Coturnix japonica: one gene and its partners. The protein of the gene in region 2 purifies or fractionates together with the protein of the main gene of each other region. This does not show direct contact. Links are inferred from orthologs where the notes say so. Each region holds a gene or a part of one and is shown on either strand. Other genes may lie near its edges. The genes, in order: TJP2, ARHGAP12 and ASAP1.

The links.
Region 1: the proteins of ARHGAP12 (region 2) and TJP2 purify together in Homo sapiens (co-immunoprecipitation; 3 studies listed by BioGRID and IntAct, with this or other methods). This does not show direct contact. The link is inferred for Coturnix japonica from reciprocal best matches to the Homo sapiens genes ARHGAP12 and TJP2.
Region 3: the proteins of ARHGAP12 (region 2) and ASAP1 purify together in Homo sapiens (co-immunoprecipitation; 3 studies listed by BioGRID and IntAct, with this or other methods). This does not show direct contact. The link is inferred for Coturnix japonica from reciprocal best matches to the Homo sapiens genes ARHGAP12 and ASAP1.

What each region holds. Positions count from the first base shown.
Region 1 is NC_029547.1:31,074,891-31,079,290, reverse strand, and holds the start of TJP2 (tight junction protein ZO-2), read right to left. Parts: upstream 2,804-4,400; 5' UTR 2,799-2,803; coding exon 2,676-2,798; intron 1-2,675. UniProt on the Homo sapiens protein: Plays a role in tight junctions and adherens junctions. Acts as a positive regulator of RANKL-induced osteoclast differentiation, potentially via mediating downstream transcriptional activity.
Region 2 is NC_029517.1:12,964,789-12,968,417, forward strand, and holds part of ARHGAP12 (rho GTPase-activating protein 12), read left to right. Parts: intron 1-1,395; coding exon 1,396-1,494; intron 1,495-3,275; coding exon 3,276-3,353; intron 3,354-3,629. UniProt on the Homo sapiens protein: GTPase activator for the Rho-type GTPases by converting them to an inactive GDP-bound state.
Region 3 is NC_029517.1:126,889,102-126,893,358, forward strand, and holds the start of ASAP1 (arf-GAP with SH3 domain, ANK repeat and PH domain-containing protein 1), read right to left. Parts: upstream 2,921-4,257; 5' UTR 2,650-2,920; intron 1-2,649. UniProt on the Homo sapiens protein: Possesses phosphatidylinositol 4,5-bisphosphate-dependent GTPase-activating protein activity for ARF1 (ADP ribosylation factor 1) and ARF5 and a lesser activity towards ARF6.

The DNA of each region.
Region 1 (4,400 bases), on a different chromosome or scaffold from region 2:
GTGGAAGTTTCAAACACCACAAAATGGAACAAATCTTAAATTCTGCTCAGAGTTCCTGCAGGAAGATGCACGACACTCAGCATTCTTATCAGGAAGTTCACAACACCAAACAACATTAAATGTGCACCAATACTTTTCTCCTCCAAAATGGACAATGCTACCCAGTTTCTAGGACTCTCTGAGTCAAACTGAAAACACATTTAGCAGATCTGTTCAGAGAATGACTTAAATTGAAATTAACGTAAGTACTCATAAACCTGTCTAGAATGATCAGCATTTCTAACTTCCTATTAAAATGTCCATGTCTATTGTCAGAGAGTTACTGTGTCTGATGAAGCATATGGTGAAATTATTTTCTCTGATATTCCCACTTTAGCAATTTACATGCCTAACCTTTCAGCAAGCTGACAGTCAACCATCTCACTACGCAAATTCCCTTACACAGAGATCTCCTGTAGACTAAAAAAAGAAAAAAATCTCCTTATCTGCATGTTTTATTCTGAGCTGCTGTGAGAAACGAAATTACTTGGGTTGCTTGTCTGGCATGTATGAAAACTGATAGTTTAGCTACTACTGACACTAATTTATATCATTTCTATCCTACTTTTCTATATGGTATCTTCAAGCTCTGTGGTCTCTACTAAAGAAAGGCCTCTGTGTCATTTATATTACAGTCGGCTTCAATGAAGAGAATTTTAGAAATAAGAGGATGATTGGTAACATTTAAAGGACAAGCAGCTGGGTTCAGATTTTGTGGACAGGTAGATGGAAAATCTTTTCTCTCTCTTACTGCATACAAGCCCAAATAACTTATGTATGTGGCAAGAACATTATTTAAATTCAATTTACACTGCCTGCAGTCCTTACCAATCCTACTTACCAGCCCAACACACTGCTGAGGCTGGCTTACTTACAAAAGTAAGGCAGGCAGACTGCCCTTATGGGCCGGAAGGCAGCACGCACACCCTGCTCTTCCAGCAACCCTAACATCAAGCCTTCTGATATTCTATCTGCAAAAAGGATCATCTGAGAAATGACTCCTTGTTCAATGCAATGCTGCAGAAAAGAGACTAAGGAGAGTAAAGAGACTAAGAGAGGATCTGTGGGGAGGAAAAAACTGAGCTTACAGGAATTTCCTTCACCAAAACGATGGCTCTAGTGAATTGTGGAGTAAAACCTTGCACATGAGATAAGAGACGCATCACGTAGCAAACGTAAGTGTAGAAACCCAACACAGGTAAGTTTATTTGCTCTGACAAACAAGTCTTGTGATATCTGGTCACAAAAACAAACAATAGGAAAGGAAAAGAAACTACTGCCTACAGATACTACAGTTATGATCCTGTAGGATGTCAAGACAACAGCATCATCTCATCTGTGCCCAGAAAATATTCCTTAAAATATCTGTTACGATCTTCACACACGTTCTGTGTAAATGTGGAGGAGGGGAAGGCCAGGGGCTTTTTAGTCTGGAACTGTTAGTAACTATTAAATAAAAGACACTTAAATAATTCACTTTTAAATTTGTAATTAATACGCTTTCAGAAACTGGTCCTTGGGAAACTGACTCCCAGTTGCTGTATACCATATTAGTGAAGGAAAGTACATTATGTACTTGCAAAGCTGATTTTGTGCAACATAATTACCACGACAGCAGGACCAGCTCTGCCATACTGATAAAGCCATTCAGGATCTGCAACACAGTTCAGAGAACTGAATGGTCACCTTGGAAGCCTGCAAGGCAAAAAACACATCTGTACTCCCTCAAATCTCTCAGCAATAATCCCTTTAACATTATAAAAAAATACCGCTGTATGCTATTGCCACGATACTAACCAACAAGGACAGTTTACTGGGGGAGACTAAATGGGAGGAAAAGACTACAAATGCTAAAAATCACCAGCCACGGACTTATAAAACTATGATTAAAAGTCTCCACGAGAATAACAAAATTCCTGTATTCCATGCCCAATGACATGACTGTCCTCTGTCTGCATCAAGTGATGGGTTACAAAAAACTCCCATCACCCCAGCCAATTTCTTCGCTCTTTGTCTCTAGGGAAACAAGAAAGGATCTGAACAGCCTGGATGTCCCTTGTACAATTGCCATTTCAATGCAAGATCACACACAGAAACACAGGAGAAAGAAAGACAGGGGAAACAGCAGTGTTACTGTTACAGCAACAGTTACTGTTAGTAACTGCTTTTCAAGGTTTTACACAGACAGCAGCATTGCTGCAGGATTGCTGCAGGAAGTACAAGTAACTGTCATTAGCTAGTCTGAATTCACTAGTGACTAAAGTCAGTCCATTCCTAATGAGAGCAGCGCAGTCAGGATTTGCTTAAATCTGCCTAATTCTGAACACCAAAACGGCAGGCACTTTCTACATGGCCAACGCAGACCGCTTAACAGAATCCGTGTCAGGAAACAATTCAAAGTACTAAAATCATCTGTGCGCTACAAGCAGCAACTCCCACTGACAGTCATCCGCGATTTATGCAATTACTTGCAACTGAGAGATAGCCTCAGGCAGCTTCTTTCAGAAAACCACCTCCAGAAGACCTGCCACCACAGTTATTGGGCTGTGAAAGTGAGCTGGAGGGGGGAAGGAGACACAAGCCACACAGGGGAGGGAGGAAAGACCCAGAGCAAGATGCAACAAAAAGCAACTCACGTGCCCCCTTAAAATCCTCAACTTTTTGACCGCATGTGACCACATTCTCTGCAGAGCTTGCGCTGTCTTCATTGTCACGGGATATGATCTGTTCGGGGACGCCGTGCATCCTGGTCTTTTCATCTGTTTCTACCACTCCACACGGTTATGTAATTCTAATACAATAGTGGCCTACATACTAGAACAAATCCTGCCGTCCGTTTCACACAGAAATGCATCAAAACCACAGCAGGGAAATCTACTCAGAGTTTCAGTAACTCTCGCTGTAAGAGGCCCCAGGGAAAACAAAAAAGAAAAAAAAAAAAGACTACATCCTTGATTTTAAAAATAATAGGAATAGTTGTTATTTTAAGTGTCAGAAACAGATCAAAACACAGCAAGTTACTCTTTTTACAAGCACATTTTGGTTCCCTCCCATCACGAACATATCTGAAACTTTAAAGAAACAGGGCACTAGCAACTTCAAAGAAAAAGGCACAGAGAAGCACAAGGATGCTTACTTGAAATTTACACTCTGACAGACATATAACACTTTATAGTAAGATTTACCACTTGGCTCCGTTATTTTGCACATTTTAAACTGTGTTTAACAGCCTCTATCAAGTCTCAACAATTTAACTACTGGACCCAGGAAGTCCTTAGGCAGAAGTAATTGTAAGCATGCGAGTAATTCCTTCACCTGCACATGTATAATTACATTTAAACACTTCCAGGAGTTACATTTAAAAATATCCTGGGGATATGACTCTAGCAAGCAAGAAAAAGAGAAACAACTTGCTCATAACCATGAGTAGTGGTTAGATGTTTGATTGCACAGGAAGTAAAATTTTGGTAATAAGCTGATCATATAGCCTGAAAGATGACCTTACTGGAAAATATGTCAAGCTATCACTTCCATCTAACCCATACAAATGATGTGAGCTTAAAATTCGACCAGAGTTTTCCCCCAGACTTCATGCAAGTCTCACAGGCTGTTTAAAATGTGAAACAGACAGGAACACATAGCAATACACAGGTCAGTATGCAATGCTAAGTGAAAAAGCCCATCCACAAGTTGCATTTCTTCCCAAGATGGATAGTTCTAACTGTTGAAGGTAAACAACATTCAATTGAGAAACCTGGAGTTTAAGGATTTTCCCTCACAAGACTGAATTCAACACCCTATGTTTCAACTATCATCCTGCCAATCTCTGGCAATTTCTTGCAGTAGCCAGCAGAACTGGATCACATGCAGGTTTGCGCAGTTCAGCAGCCCTCGCTGGGCTGCCAGAGCACCTGTATGGTTGGAGGACCTGGCACTGGAACCTGGTCAAAACAGTGGATAATCTTCACTAATGTCTCTAAAGGAAAATAATCATTCTGCAGAACAGACACACTCACAACTTCTAAAATCACATTTTCATCTATTTATTTAAAGAAAAGTGGTAATAAGAAGGAACAAATATAAAGATGTACTGGAGATGCCTCTATCCCTGTCCTTGCTCTCCTGTTCTCTTCACTGCCCTGACAATTAAAAAGGTAACATGAAACAAACATTCCCATTTCCAGTCAGGGAAAATGTGGTAAAAAAAAAATGGGAAAACATTCATCATAAGTTGAAGTATTTATGACAACTCTTCTTCCTTGGATTTGGTCTGTTCTCTCCTCTAAAAGAAAAAGAGAAAGCAGGTGGATTATCTCTAGCAACACTTAAAAAAATAATGGGAATAAATAAAAACGTAGCAG
Region 2 (3,629 bases):
CAGAAGCAGTTGCAGCAAATAATTGTGTTACATACCAGCATTTTCTTGTCCTATCTAATCTGCGTTGTTCTACCTGCTACAGCTGCTTGCTACTCTGCCTTTCTGCTGCGTGGCCTTTTTCAACCCTTTGCTACTGACTCTGCTTATACAGCTGGCTGTGTGAGTAGGAGCAGCAGGAATGAGATGATCTGGGGCACTGGCCTTTATGCATACAGCTAATAATACGATTATATACCAATTGTCTTATTGTATAATTGGTTTGGTGTGCTGTTTGGATTTCCCAAAGCAGTTTTCAAATGCAGATGTTGTTACTAAACATGACAAACGGGCTAGATGCGATGCATGGTGCAAATGCAAGAGCAGTTTCTCTCTTGCATGAGCTCTGAAGTAAAATGTATTAAATACTGCAAAGATGGTCACTTACATGCTGCCTTTAAAAGATAAAATAAAACTTTCTTCCTTTTGAGTGTGAGCTTTGCTTCTCTATTTCAAGACCCTGTTTCAGTCTCATGCATCCAAACCTGGGATGTCATCTGTTATTTGGGCATACGGTGAAACCATGAGTCTGGGGAGCGTTTCAGTGCTAACATCTGATCTGAACAAGAGGAACTGACATGTTGGTGAAACACACTGAGACTTTACAAGAACATGTTCTCTGCCAAAGCTGATTTTCATTTTTGCTCTGTTTGATGATAGAGAACACCCCCGCTGCCTTTTGTGTCATTTGGAGGCCAAGATGCAAAATATCTGAAAGATGGACATTGTCCATAAGTACTTATGTTTGAATTCCAACCTTGAAGCCATGTTGCCTATTCGCAGTCACTCATGCAATCAGAGCTCTGTGTAATGTTCTATCATTTATGTGGTCATTTCAGAACTTAAACATGTTAGAGATGAAGCTCTATATTGAAGCCTTTCTCTGTAAAGGAATGTGTAATTAAATAAAAGCAGTAGGTGTAATGGAGAATAACTTTTTCTTCTCCCTGGTTGCTTTGGGTTAAAGTTTTTCTGTTCAGATTATTTTTTTCATCAAAGATTATGGTAATTGTATTTTGAACCCCAAAGAGGGATGAGGTACAACAGAACATTTGAATCCATTAGATTTCTCAGTGCAGTAATGGCGGTATGATTCTTCCAAGTTTTCTTCCGATGAATTAAAATGATTTCAGTACCAAAAGTTCCTCCCTCAAAGACTCATGTTTGGGAAACTGCTGACACTTTTTCTTTCTGGGAGAGGCTGAGAACTCTTTTCAGAACTTTCCCCCCCTCACACTCTAATAATGCAACAATTGTATCCTGTACTTCTTGCTCTGTGTAGAGGTTTGTTTTAACCTGAACTAGTTCTGTCACTCGAGTCCTGTTCCACTGTAAATCAGTCTCTTTACTTGGTTCCAGATCAAGTGTTTGGTTCCAATCTCACCAGCTTGTGTCAAAGAGAAAACAGCACGGTGCCAAAGTTCGTGAAGCTGTGCATTGAGCATGTTGAGGAACATGGTATGGTGAATCTTTTGTTTGTCTTTAAATCCCTCTTGCTCATCTCGCTGTCTCGTTTTGAATGCTTTAATCCTTAATGTGCTGTTGATTTGTTAGTGGAAATAATCCAATGTGTGTCTGTAGGTAATGTGTTTTTGGGAGTGGGGAAGGTAGCTGGAACCCAGTGTGGGGAGAGGGAAGTAAGTTTTACATCAGAGGAATTGATCTACTTCACTGTCTTACAAGATGAGAACGCTGAACAGCTTTTTGGCAGAAAGGGTTTAAAGGAGCAGAAATTACAAGGAGTCATAGAAGAGCTTATCTCATCAAAGTTTTACTGCAGGTGAAGAGAGACTCTCAGAAGTTACATGTGACGCTGTGGGCTGTCTGCTACCAAGGACTTAATCACATTTTTTTTTGTTGGAAATTCCTTGGTTGTAATTCCTGTCTTGTGTGTACTGTGGGTTGGGCTTCTTGCTTGTCTCTTGCTGTTGCCATATCAACTGAGAGTGGTCTATGGAATCTCCATAACCGTTGATCAGAAGATGGTCTGTTAATTTGGGAACAAAACTTGAGATCAGGATGTTTACAAGGGAATACTGTAAGTGAATTTTAAGGCATTTTCCATGGGAACTTGTTAGGACTTTTTCCAGCATGTTGTCTTTTTTCTCAGTGCTGTTGCCTTGTGTCCTGGGAAGGGAAAAAATATCTGCTTCCCTTCCACTGCGATACTGTAGGTCGACAAACTGCCATCTTGTTTGTAACAGCAGGCTTTATTCCCATTCAAGGTCCACAGTTTGATAGAGAGGGGCTATTTTTCTTTTTTAAAGTAATTTATATTTTAAGGACAGGACTGCAGTGAAGATGGTGGTGAAGTTGTCCTTTTTTAAACACCTGAGGGGAAGCTGACAGAAATGAGCAGCTTTTTTCCCTACTTCCCCAACTCTTCTTACTTCCAAAACAGAAGAAATCTATTGTTTTTGTAAAAAAATGACTAGTGGATTATGGGGAAAAGGGATATGTCAGATGGTGCTGGTAACTGTGCTGTACTGTATCAGACTACTCCACGAGCTACAAGGACTGAAGGTAATCTGGCAACACTCACCCCCTCAGGGGCACTGACTCATGTGCTGCATTCAAGTGGCATTTCAGTTTAATTCTTTACCTGCTAATCAATTCTGAGTAATTGCAGTAGCGTCCACAGAGACAGCTTTCTTCTTTGCTGCCTGGCTGAGTGTTGCAGTACAGTACTTGCCTTTACAGTAGAGGCAAGGGCTACCCATTTACTTCTAAAGGCTGTTGGATAGTGAGTGTGCAGGCACGATGTTCCTTCTTGAAACCTGGTTACTTGACAACTTTGAGATGCTCTGTTCTGCCTGACTTGATATTTCTTAACCATAAATTAAATAATGGGACATCCACAAAATGCTTGGTTCTTGTATGTTGGATCCTGCATATATCCCTCCGTCCACCCGCTAAAAGCATTTTAAATGGCATCTCCAGTCTCACTGGGAAAACTTGAAGCTGTTACCTCATTTACTACTATTCTTCTCCATAGGAAGCTTTAAAGATTACTTGGAGCTTGATGCTGTAAAACTTTTTGTCAGCAAACAAAACCCTCTCTGATGTGCCCTGCCCATCAAAAAATCTAGTGAAATGTTTATTGCCAAACCAGGTTAGCATAAGATTATGTGGGTTGCTTTGGGTTTCAGTTTTACAGAGTAGACCTGTGAGCAAGGAGCCTGATGATTTCAGAACCTGTATGCATGAAAGATTAAAACTGGTTTATCCCTTTATTTTAGGATTAGATGTTGATGGCTTATACCGAGTTAGTGGTAATCTTGCAGTGATACAGAAGCTAAGATTTGCAGTCAATCATGGTAAGTTTTCATCAACTACATTACCATCACGTAGCTTTTCAGGTTGCTGTGACTTTGAGTTTGTAGAGAACTCATGAGGAAAGATTGCTTAATGTGTAACTGCAGCTTTTCTTGAGAAATGATTGCTATCCTTAAAGTTACCTAAAAACTGTGGAGTTTAGTGCATAAAAGCACACACATGCACACAAATACAATGGAACAGCCAAACCCTAACAAAGTAAACAAAAAACCACCACCCGGACAGCCTGGGGGTTTGGTCTTTACATGTAGGCATTG
Region 3 (4,257 bases), about 110 Mb from region 2:
TCATACTGTTGGTTTAATTGACTGCAATGTGTCATCTGATTTACTAAGCTACAATGAGGCAAACAGATACTTAGCTGAAGTATTTCAACATAGCTCTAAATTAGCTCAAGAAGCAAACTTCAGATATAAATTTTCCTAGCATTTGGGATAATTTATTTTCCACTATATGGAGCAACTTGTAAAGCATGCAGCCTGAGATTGCCCTGGATTCCTGCTCAGCCCATTCTCAGGTCTAGTGTGTGGTGAATGCACAGGGATTTTTCATGTGCAGTGCAAATGGGTGATGTAGGAGGTGAGGGCACATGGTGACTTTGGCTCAAGCAAGGACTGCTTTACCCAGATAAGCAGTCTTACACTATTCTCCAAAACCATTAGTGTTGCAAAGCTGCTACTTCAATCACAAAAGTCTTGTAGTCACCTGAATGCACTGAAGATATCTAACCTATATCTTGACCAATGAATTACATATTGCCAGGGGATTGTCCCAGGGCTGGCACTTGTCAGCATTGTTATATTGTTAGAAAAGTCCCCAGCAGCGTGCAGGGATTAGCATGGGTCAGCCATTCCTCCCAGTAGGACACCTGGTAGAGGTTACAGTGATTTGGAGTGCCAAATAGAAGTCTCAACCACAAAACACCCTCTGTGTAACCGTTTTGATCATCATCTTTAAAAGAACCTGACACAGGGCCAGGCACAAGGGCAGAAAAAGCACATTTTTAATGAGAGTACTAATATGGGGCTCCACGCTGGGCTGCAGGCAGCAGCAGGGCCTGAGGCCCAGCACAAAGGCCTTATCGCTGTTCCTGGGGCAAACCTTGCAGGAGGGCGGGAGGATTACCCAGCCCCATTTGGGCAAGTGCCAGAAGTTGAACAGAACCACCCGAGCAAGCTCAGGCTGCATCCCTTGTTTAGTTTTTGTCTCTGCTTTTGGAGGATTAGTGAGGATTTGCTGTGAAGAGCAGCACTAGTCCCTCCTGCTCTGTCTGGATGCACACAAGCAGCCCGCCCCAGCCAGACTCCTTCCAGCCTTTCAGGTCACTGCCAGCTCCAGCAGAGCAGTGTGGATGCTTTCCTACTTTCTTCTTGCTGGAGAAGCCCCTGTGAGGACATGAGCATGGCTGAGGGCTGCCTGCCTTTGCCCCTCACATACCTGTGTGATGGTGCTCCTGCCCATTCCCCATTGCCTGTTTTCCACCCACTCCAAGGCCATGCTCTAGGTGCTACAGCACTTTTGTTTTTAATTAGGGCTTGATACTAATTGCCTTGAATGAAGTTATTTTCACACCACAGCTGACCAAAGCCAGAAGACGTTAAGTCTATTCCCTTCATAAATCATTTCTCCTGCTCCCCAGGGTGGAGACAAAGAGTGAATAGGCAGCAGACACTGCCTTGGCCTAATTGTCTCCTAAAATATGCAGGCAGCTCCCACAGCAGTCATCAGACAGGCACACGTGCATCTGGGGGGGCTTTGTGTTGGTATCTGTGCCCTCATGCTGAGGGACAATTGCCAGCATCCCCCGCCTACTTTAGCCCTGGATATTAAAGAAGAGGAGGGGGTGTCCCTTTAAAAGCAGACAAAAGCAGCCTCCCCTCACCCCCTGCTATAGTACAAAAGCTGGAAATAAATCTTCCCTTCTTACTGGCTGGGCAGATTCAGGGAGAGAGATGCCAGCTAGGGAACACTGACACAGTTAAAAAATAAAAAGGATTCTGTGAACCAACGCTGGCTTGGCACAGCAGTCAGATAAATCCTACCCTAATCCATGCAAAACCTCCCAAAACAGTCAGTAAAATGCACAGGGAAATTCTGCTGGCCTGAATTTGCCCATTACCTTCATCATGCATGGCCCTACTCCTCGCAGAGCTCCTTGTAACACCCTCCATAGTTTCTGGACCCTGAAACTGAACTTCATCCTCAAAGCTGCGCCTGAACCGAGCCCTCTGCTTCTGTAACACACTGCCTGGCCTCAGGTGATATAATTCGTACCAATGGGGAAGACTTGATTCCTGGTTAAATAAGAGATATCATAGAAAAATAGGGCAGGGTGGGACTCAGAGGAGCTGTCTAGCCTCTTTCCATCAGCTCTAGTTAACATTAGTGAGAGCAGCCTGCCCCTGGCAGACCTGTGCTCACTGTCACCAAGATGCTGCCCCTTGGAGCTGAGATAAGCAAACACCTTTCCTTTTGTAAGCCCATGCAGCTGACCAGGCTCTCTCTGCTCTTTGATAAACATATTCTGCATCCCTGAATTGCAATGATAATTAATGGAGGCTGAGGGCCAGATCTCCACCTGGGAGAAAGTGGCAGGGCTCTGGGTAGGCAGTGGAGCTGTGCTGTTTCAGTTCAGACCAGAGCCTGATCATGCTCCTGAAATCAGTGCAAGTCCTGGAGTCAGTGTGATCCCAGGCTTTGCTCTGGTGTTAGAGGTGCCAAGGAGGAAGACCACAATAGGTTCTCAGTGCTATAGCTGATACAGTGCTCTGCCTTGAACCATGAGCAGGATTAAGGCAGTGAAATCAAGGGAAGCATTGCTTTTCCCAGACTACCCGATTACAGTGAGAAAAATAGACCTCGCTATTACAGAGACAAAGATTAAACACACATACACACATACACACACACACACATAAGAGAAATATTAAAAGTACCTTCACATTTTCACAACGTTGGTGTTAGATTTCTGGTTCTCCTATTTCACAGTACTGCAAAGGATCTTAAGGGGATTGATGGTTCTGCAGGGCAGAGGCTGTGCCTTTATTTTCTTTGGGAAGTACCTTGAGCGCTGTTGGTTCTTGCTACCAGAGAGAAATAACAAAAATCTGAAGGCATAAGACAAATATACTCCTTCAAGAGTTTCTAATAAAATGATAATGTTGAGCGAGGCTGCCAGTATGTTCTGTGTCCAGATGCACTGCAGCAGAAGGGAAGAATTTAGCATGTTTTGAAAATGCCAATTGTCTGTTGCCAAAGATGCTTATGATCCCACTGCCAGCAGGGTAGGCGGTGGGGATTAAGATGTCAGAGGAGACGTCATTCTACCTAGGCAACACCAGTTTCACTGAAGAAGACAATGCAAAGACAGTACTGTTTCCTTCAATGAAGATTCCTTTTTCTCATCTTATATTCTGAGTTTTTCATTGTTGCAAAGCTACTTTTATAGAAGCCCTTTGTATTCCCTGGGATATATTTATGGTGATGGCAACCAGGACACAGGATGGAGGAATTTTTACACCTACAAAAAGGAATTCTGAGGTCTTCCATGCCTGTGAGTATCTCCTGGTCCTCCGCTGCCACATGGGTGTCTGGGATGGATGCTAGTGTTGCAACACAGCAGAGGGAATGTAGCCCAAGGTCATGGCCAATATGTGAGTAAGAACAACAAATGGATCTCCAGAGTTCCAGCTGATGCTCTCAGCGTTCATCTAGCCTGCACTGTAAGAAGAGGTTCCCTGCAGGCTGGTGAAGCCCCTGGCATCCTCATCTCCTAACTGTGCTGCTTCATCCTGGAGAAGAGTAATTTCTGTGTTTCACAGACAGGGTCAAACCCTGCTTGCATGTTTGGCCTTTCTGAAATATCTCCTGATGATCCTGTTTCCTTCAGACTTTTTCTTTCCCTGGTGGCTTTTTCTGGGACATCTGCTATAGGCTGGGTGTGAGTTTGGATCCCTAATCTTGTCAGTGCAGATTTGAGAGGCCTTTTTGTAACCCCTGCCTAGTTCAGAGGTTTTAAGCATTTGCATAAATCCCTCCCCACTGGGCCAGCATTAACCACATGGTTAACCTGAAACATGATTAGAAGCCATATTTCAATGGGAGTTAAGCATATGCTTAAATTCTGCTCTAAATGGATATTTTCTTGAACTGGAGCCTGCATTTTTTTTTTTTTTGTGATCCATCTTTGCTCCTCCACATACCTTTACTGCAAATTATTCTACAATACACATATGGCTCAGAAATTATATAGCTCTGTGGCTTTTACACAAAAAGCTCAATTGATACATCACATACTTAACCTCTTGAACAAAGGAGTTAACTTTACAGGATCAATTTACATGCAAGGGCCAAAGCTTTTGGATGGAAACTAGCTGTCATGTGGTGTGCAGTCGAAAGAGCAAACAGCTTATTCATTTTGATAGCATTGGATTCAGAAACAAAACACAGACGGCAGAAAGAGTCTGCCCGGATTTCCAAACATAACGCATGTCCCTGCTCTAAAGCATATTTATTTAAACCTTCTCTCTGTGCTTGCAGTCAGT